Astyanax mexicanus: one gene and its partner. The protein of the gene in region 1 binds, or shares a complex with, the protein of each later gene. Links are inferred from orthologs where the notes say so. Each region holds a gene or a part of one and is shown on either strand. Other genes may lie near its edges. The genes, in order: tent4b and zcchc7.

Region 1 (3,926 bases):
CACATTCCTAGTTACGTAATACGTACATTTGAAGGTTTACACTTTTCTAGAGAAAGCCTTTATTACTGCAAACGTCATCCTGAACTTTACACATTAATGATTAATCGATTTTCCTCTATTCTTCTTTATTTATTTTATCAATATATCATGAATGTCTAATTGTATTTTTATGTGTAAAGTTTTATGCCTCAAAGCTGGTCTGTATCTGAATATTTGGAAGGACTAAATAACAACATTCTACTTACAACACCTTGCTACTACTTTAAATTTACTACCTTACTACCTTAAATCGATTAGTTTGTATGCGAAAATAAAAAGTAAAAAAAAATGCATGATAAACATATGATATGACATGTCAAACGTTTGGGCAGATACTGCCTTCAAATCCTCCTCAAACATTCTCAAAAGGAAAGTTCTCAGAGTGAAAGGCAGAACTCAAGCTGCCTGGTCTTCTTATAAGATCAGCTTGATCTCTTGATTTGCTCAATGATGAGGAGCTTCATCAAACCCAGTAACAGAGGAGCAGAGCAGAGGGTTTGGAGTGATTTATATATATATTTTTAATTGTTACAAGTAACAATGCAGCCCATAAAAATGTAGTTAAAGTAATAAACTGATTGAAAATATGTAGTGAAGTAAAAGTGAAAGTAGGAGATACAAATAATACTCCATTAGATACAGATACAGGATTTTAGTAATTCAGTACAGTAGTGAAGTACTTTTACTTCCTCACTATACACCTCTGTTCAGAAGTAATTTGATTTCATTAAAAAAGTAAGAGTTTAGAAAATGTATCTTTGTAAATAAACAATTTGGCAAGTATACACTTAAATGAGACACATCCCTATTATAAAGTTAACAATATGCACTGCCACAAAACTTTTCTGCTCTATTACAGATTTCTTTTGTTTTAATTTTCCAGATTATTAAACAAACTTCAATATCAGACAAAAATTACAAGAGTAAATACAAAAACGATGATTTCATTTCTTAAGGGAAAAGTTTTAAGTTTAGGTGAGCTTGGGTTCTGCAGCAGGACAATGATCTGAAACACACCAGCAGTTCCAGTTCCAAATCTGAATGGCCTACAAAATAAAGGTTTTAGAGTGGCCTAAGTCTGATTTTCACAACACTGCATTCTAAGAGTTAATTATAAATTATAAATTATATATTTGAATGTGAAAGAATGGTTATGTTACCGATCTTTTTCCACCTTTGAGTGTTACAGTGTTACGCTCGCTCGGTCTCTCCGCTGGTGGGCGCAGTGCCAGTGGACAGACCCTGAGTGAGTGAGGGAGAGAGAGAGAGAGGGAGAGGAAAGGAGAGAGAGAGGTTAGCAGTTAGCTTAGCATAACTTCACCTCGACAGGCGACGCTCGCACGTTTCTCTCACTCCGCTTTACCCTTAACTTTGACTGTGGGCGTTTTTTCCCGTCTGAACCCGTATCTATCCGCGGTCTTCTGATGCCAGCAATCCCCTCTTTCCAGCTCCGTTAATGGCATGTTACGATAACATACGGCTATTTTATAGCGAAGCAGAAACGGGGGCTAGTGGGGGCGAAGTGAGCGAACCTAACGCTAGCTAGCTAACTAGCTAGGGAGCTAGTGGCTAGCTAACGCTAGCGGCGCTGCCAGAGCCCGGAGTGAGTGTGCGGCGTTCCCGGGCGTTAACTGGCTCAGCTGTGGGGGGGCAACAGCCACCTTTCCGTTTGATGGATCCTCGAATCGCCTGGTTTCAGCCAGAACAGCGCGGACCCGCCAACAGCTTGTGGATGCAGATTTGGGAGACCACGCAGGGCCTCGGGAACTTGTACTTCAGCAGCGGCAGCAACCACCACCACCACCACCACCAGCAGCAGCAGCAGCAGCACCACGGCGCGGGTCCGGCCACAGCAAGCACGAGAGTGAACGGCGAAAGCGGGGCGGCGGACTGCAGGAGCAGCGAGGGGAAGGCGCAGGGAATGTCGGGCTCCAGGGCGGACTGCGACGTTGTGGATCAGCGGGACTTTATACCTCTGGAGGCGGCGAACAACAACCAGAACCGCGGGCGATTCGCACCGGCGGGTAGGGGCGGCGGCGGTTCTTCAGCTGGGCTCGCTGCGGCGGCTCAGCGCAACAAGAGGAAACGGGAGAATAAGGCGAGCACTTTCGGCTTCAACCGGAGCCTGATCCTCCATGGCTGTGGGCCGGAGCAGGAGGAGGAGGAGGCGGCAGCAGCGGCGTACACGGGCACGCCGTGGAAGAAGAGAAACTACTCGGAGGGCATCGTGGGGTGAGTCTGCAGAGAGAGCTTCGTTTTGAGGTTTCCAAAATGAGCTTAGCAAAGGATAGATAGTTAACTAACTTACATAGTTTTTTTTTGTTCCAGATGGAAATTAAGACATCCAGTTGGTTAAAAAACACAAATAGCTACCTTAAGTACAATCAGAGAACACGTATGACAATAGCTATAACTTACTAAGGGCATGCTAGGTTATAATAAAAACTTTGCTACAATAGTGCAGTATATCAATGCAATCAGCCAATATACAGTCTACAGAGAAAAAGTGCAAGATTCTAGTTAATGATATTGGTTATAATAATAAACTAAATATATGGAGCGCCTTTCATACATTAAAATGCAGTTTAAAGTGCTGTACATACAGAAAGGTAATCAGACTAAAATGGAAAATAAAATAAAACTCAGTAAAAGCAAAGTAAAATAAACAATTAAGATAAGTCAATAGAAAATAACAATGATAATAATTTTTTCAAACATTTTAGCTCAAATGTCTCAATTATTAAAACAAAGTTATAAAAATATGTCTGGAGCTGCTTTTTGAAACTGTTTACTGATGCGTGTCTGATCTCAACTGGTAACGTTAAGCTGTTCCATTTCTTTTGGAGCATAAGAATTATAAGAAAAGTGACTTGGTGTGCTTAACGTTATATAACTTAGCTAGTTACATGTACTTATCCATATGTTTGGTGAGTAAATGTCAGTGTAGTTGATGTGGGGCTGGAAAGAGTTAAAAAGCCTTTAAAAAACGTTAACGTTAATTATGGCTAGCTATCAAGGTTAATTATCTAGCAGCTTTAAGTCTTACTCTTGCGTTTATTTTCTGTTCAAGTTTAGCTGAAGTTAGCTAGCTAAGGTTTGCTAAGTTAACTGAGCTAGCTAACCCAGTCAGTCTGTTAGCGTTAGCTGGCTAATGCTAGCTTATATCTTTACCTAGCTAATAGGGGTGTCACGATCTCGATATTTTATCGAAATCGAATCGAAATGAGGTCACGATCTCGAGTATCGAAGTCAAAAAGAGGATCGACGATCCCTCCCGCGCGCGCTACGCAAATAGCGCAGCGCGCTACGCAAATGGCGCGGCACCAACACAGCGCATCCTATTCATTTAAATAGAGATAGCCACTGCATGAGCGCAGTCGGCGGGAGTGTGATCACTGTTTTTATCTGTCCAACGGGGGAGGGGGGGCGGGGGTTGGGCGCGCAGGTTTTGTATCTGTATCTAACGGAGGGGTGGGTGCGCGCAGGTGAGAGCGTGTGAACTCGCTGAAATGCGTGTGTCAGTGTGAGAACACTGACTATAGATCACAGTGAGGTGGATTAAAAATCTTAAACTTATAATTGACTACACCTGTTGCTTTCCATTGAATTAAAAAAACATCTTTCTCTCAGATAAAGTAAACACAAGCGTGTTTCTGACTAAAATAAAAGCTTTTCAGGAGAGATATAAGTTATGTGTAAATATTTATAAGACAATACCCACATCACTTATCTAACCAGCCTGTACTGATTTCTGCCCCCCAATAATGCTTTCAATAACCTCTTGTAACCCCTGGGAGCCAGGGGTTACACTCTAATAGCCTTTAATAGTCTTCAGTAGCCTTTAAAAGACTTACCTGGCGGCCGTGGTGTGTCCACTAAACTCCGTA
Region 2 (3,926 bases), on another chromosome or scaffold:
ACGCTAAAACTCACTTTGCCATTATAACTAACACAGTTTCCAGAAATATATAACATACCGTGTCTAATGTTGAACAGTATCTCGCAATACAACTCAACAGGGTGTCATAACACCGAACACGACCTAAAACACAATGTCCTGTAACAACCAACTAAGTGTCACAATAACCAATAAAGTGTCCTGTAGCAACCAGCAGAGTGTCAGAATACTCAACACAGGTCCCATAGTACCTAACAATGTCATCAAATCCAAAACATTGTCATAATACCCAACACAGCATCCTGTAACAGCCAACAGTGTTATAATACCCAACATAGTGTCTTGTAAGACCCAACCCAAGTGTCATTATACCAAACAAACAGTCCTGTAGTACCCAGCAGTGTCATTATACCCAACACAAGGTGCAATAATATCAAACAGTGTCATAAAATCCTACACTGTCTAACACTGTGTCAAAAGAGAGTCCTGTAGCATCCAACATATAGCACCCTACAATAAAACTCAGCACAGTGCCCTGTAACAGCCAACATTGTCATAATACCCAACACAGAGTCTTGTAAAACACAACAAAGTGTCATTATATCAGAGAGGTCAGCAAACAGAAGGTTCGGTAATACCAAACAGTGTTTAAATTCCAACACTGTGTCATAATACCAAAGCAGTGTACTGTAACAGCCAACAGAGTGTCATAATACCCAACACAGCAAAGAATCCTGCAAAGAAGAATGGGCCAAAATTGCTCCAAAGACATGTGAAAGACTAATTGCCAGTTACCTCAAGTACTTGATCGCAAGGGTGACACAACCAAGTTATTAGGTTTAGGGGGCAAATACTTTTTCACATATTTTTTCTTACCTTTAATAAATGAATTTATCATTTTTTTTTATTTACTCAGGTTATCTTTATCTGATATGATTACACACAAACATAACATCCTTTGACGTTGTCTAACACATTGCATAAAAGCCAGCCCAGAGTCTTGTAAGACCCAAAAAAGTGTCATTATACCAAACGTAGAGGCCTGTAGCACCCAGCAGTGTCACGATACCCAATACAGAGTCCTGTAACAGCTAACAGAATGTTATAATACCCAACACAAGGTCCAATACAGTTTTTTTCTTGATTGCTAAAACACTAAACCCTGTTGTCTGAACCAAATCCTCAGTGCCCTGAACCCATTTATTATTATTATTCAATGGTCACTTTAATCTTTAACTTTTCACTTATTTAGACACGAATTGCAAAGATATTTTACCCACTAAAACACAGTTTGCAGTGGGATGCACTTTGGTTGCAAGTCAGTGAAAGAACAGGTGTCTCAACTTCAACACAGCAAATCAAAATTGATCACACTTGTGGAAGTGCACTGAAAGCAGCAGTACACGAAGAAGTGCACACCTGTGTATCACACATACTGTAAACCTAGGAAAGGGAAATAAATGTATTTCCATAACATTAAAGCCCTACACTACTGTCTGTCTGTCTGTCTGCATGAGACTGAACTGGTGGTGAACTCTCCTGTATGGGAGACAGCTCCCAGCGCTAGCTCACGGTCGGCCACCCTGTTTTCCTCCTACAGCCACGGAAGCCGCAGCGCTTCAAAACAGCGGAGTGTGATCCAGAAACAGGTGAGATTACGGCTCTCACACACCTTAAACACAGCGATTTCAGCGCGTTTACATGTCTACACAACTGTAACACCGCCGTAACGTGGTTTTAAATGAGTTAAACGACTCGATTACACACAAAACAGCAGCCGGCTTCTCCCTAGACAGAGAACACGTGGATGTCAGAGCTGAGAGCTGGAGAGCTGGGGAGCTGAAAACACTTAAATCAGCTAAAATACACAAAATTTACTGCGTTAACAGCGAATTTAAACACAAAAACCGGCAAACAAACATATGTGTTGTTTATAAAAGAGAGAAGTGATGTTTGGAGGAGTTTGGGGGGTCTGGATTAGACCAAAACAGACAGAGTCTTGTTATTTAACTTAGCTAACAGCTAGCTAGCTAACTAGCTAATCGAACTCTAAAATAGTTACACTAAAGGCCTAGGTATATGAAGCTAATGTTAGCTAGCTTACCAATATAGAGCTATAGAAGTGGGGGAACACTTATGTAAAAGTACTCTTAAATTTGTAACTTAGCTGTTAACCTAGATAAAGTTATAGTGAGGTTGCTGAACAGAGTGTGATGCTAAGGATGCTAAGCTATGATAGTTAGCAAGCTAGCTAGCTCTGTATACTGTTGATGGGGTTGTTTAGTTTAGCATAACTTAGCTTCCATTCCACAAAATACTGTAGCTATACTGTAGACAATACTGTAACAGGTAGCTACACAGTGTGGCATGCTGACAACTAGCTAAAGATATAGTGTTTAGGTAAGCTTTTAGGCTACACTTGCTATGCTAGCTGGTTAGCTGTCTATAAGGTTGAATGGGCTGTTTAGCTTAGCATAATTCAGCTGCTGTACCAAACTCTAGTGCTATAGTCATATAAAGCTAGCTAATACTGTAACAGGTACGCAGGGTGGCATGAAAACAAGCTAAAGATATAGCTTAGTATTTGGCTAAGCATTTGTGCTATGCTAGCTAGCTCTCTATAAGCTCAAAGGGGCTGTTTTACTTAATATATATGTATGGAATAGCTTAAATTCGAAACAGTGCTGTAGCCATACGAAGCTAGCTAGTACTTTAACAGGTACACAGGGTGGCATGCAGAAAGCTAGCTAAATATATAACCTAGTATTTGGGCAATAATTCAGGCTATGCTTGCTATGTTAGCTGGTTATCTTTCTGTAAGGTTGAATGGGGTGTTTAGCTTAGCATAATTCAGCTGCTATTCCTAACAGTGCTGTAGTCATATAAAGCTATCAAATACTGTAACAGGTACACATGGTGGCATGCAGAAAACTAGCTGAATATATAACCTAGTATTTGGGCAATAATTCAGGCTATACTTGCTATGTTAGCTAGTTGGCTCTCTATAAATTGAATGGGTTGTTTAGCTTAGCATAATTCAGCTGCTATTCCAAACTGTAGTGCTGTAGTCATATAAAGCTAGCTAATACTGTAACAGGTACACAGCTATAGCTATAGTATTTGGTCAAGCTTTGAGGCTAAGCTAGCTATCTCTCTATAATGGTAAATAAGTTGTTTAGCTTAGCTTATACATGGAATATAATGGAATATAATCCATATAATGCTAACTTGTACTGTAACAGGTAAACAGGGTGGTATGCTGAAAACGTGCTGAAGTTATAGCTTAGTGTTTGGCCAAACATTTAGGCTATAATTGCTATGTTAGCTAGCTAGCTCTATATAAGGTTAAATGGGTTGTTTAGCTTAGGGATAGCTTCTAATTTCCTAATTTTTCTTCGGGATAAATAAAGCACCCATCCCTCCAAATAGTACTGTAGTCATGTAGCTAGCTAATACTGTAACAGGTACACAGGATGGCATACTAAAACTAGCTACAGATATAATGTTTGGCTATGCATTTAGCGGAAGCTATGCTAGTTAGCTAGCTCGCTTAATATAAGTTTGACTGTTTAGTTTAGCATAACTCAGCTTCTATTCCATACAGTTCTGTAGCTAGTACTGTTACAGGTACACAGGGTGGCATTCTAAAAAGATATAATTTATTATTTAGCATAGTGTTTGGGCAAGCTTTTAGGCTATGTTTGCTGTGTTAGCCAGCTAGCTCTGTATAAGTTTGAAAGGGTTGTTTAGCTTAGCATAACTTAGCTTCCATGCTACACAATACCATAGCCATAATGTAGTTAGTACTGTAACAGGTAGCTACACGGGGTGAAAAGCTGACAACTAGCTGAAGCTTGTTTGGCCAAGCATTTATGCTAAGCTGGGCTAGTTAGCTAGCTTGCTCTGAATATACTGAAATAGGTTGTTTAGCTTAGCATCTATTCCAC

Evidence for each region.
Region 2: tent4b (region 1) and zcchc7 share a complex: the UniProt entries of both Homo sapiens proteins name them as parts of the nucleolar TRAMP-like complex. The link is inferred for Astyanax mexicanus from reciprocal best matches to the Homo sapiens genes TENT4B and ZCCHC7.

What each region holds. Positions count from the first base shown.
Region 1 is NC_064430.1:12,171,179-12,175,104, reverse strand, and holds the start of tent4b (terminal nucleotidyltransferase 4B), read left to right. Parts: upstream 1-1,370; 5' UTR 1,371-1,711; coding exon 1,712-2,271; intron 2,272-3,926. UniProt on the Homo sapiens protein: Terminal nucleotidyltransferase that catalyzes preferentially the transfer of ATP and GTP on RNA 3' poly(A) tail creating a heterogeneous 3' poly(A) tail leading to mRNAs stabilization by protecting mRNAs from active deadenylation.
Region 2 is NC_064432.1:7,203,298-7,207,223, reverse strand, and holds the start of zcchc7 (zinc finger CCHC domain-containing protein 7), read left to right. Parts: upstream 1-1,388; 5' UTR 1,389-1,628; intron 1,629-3,926.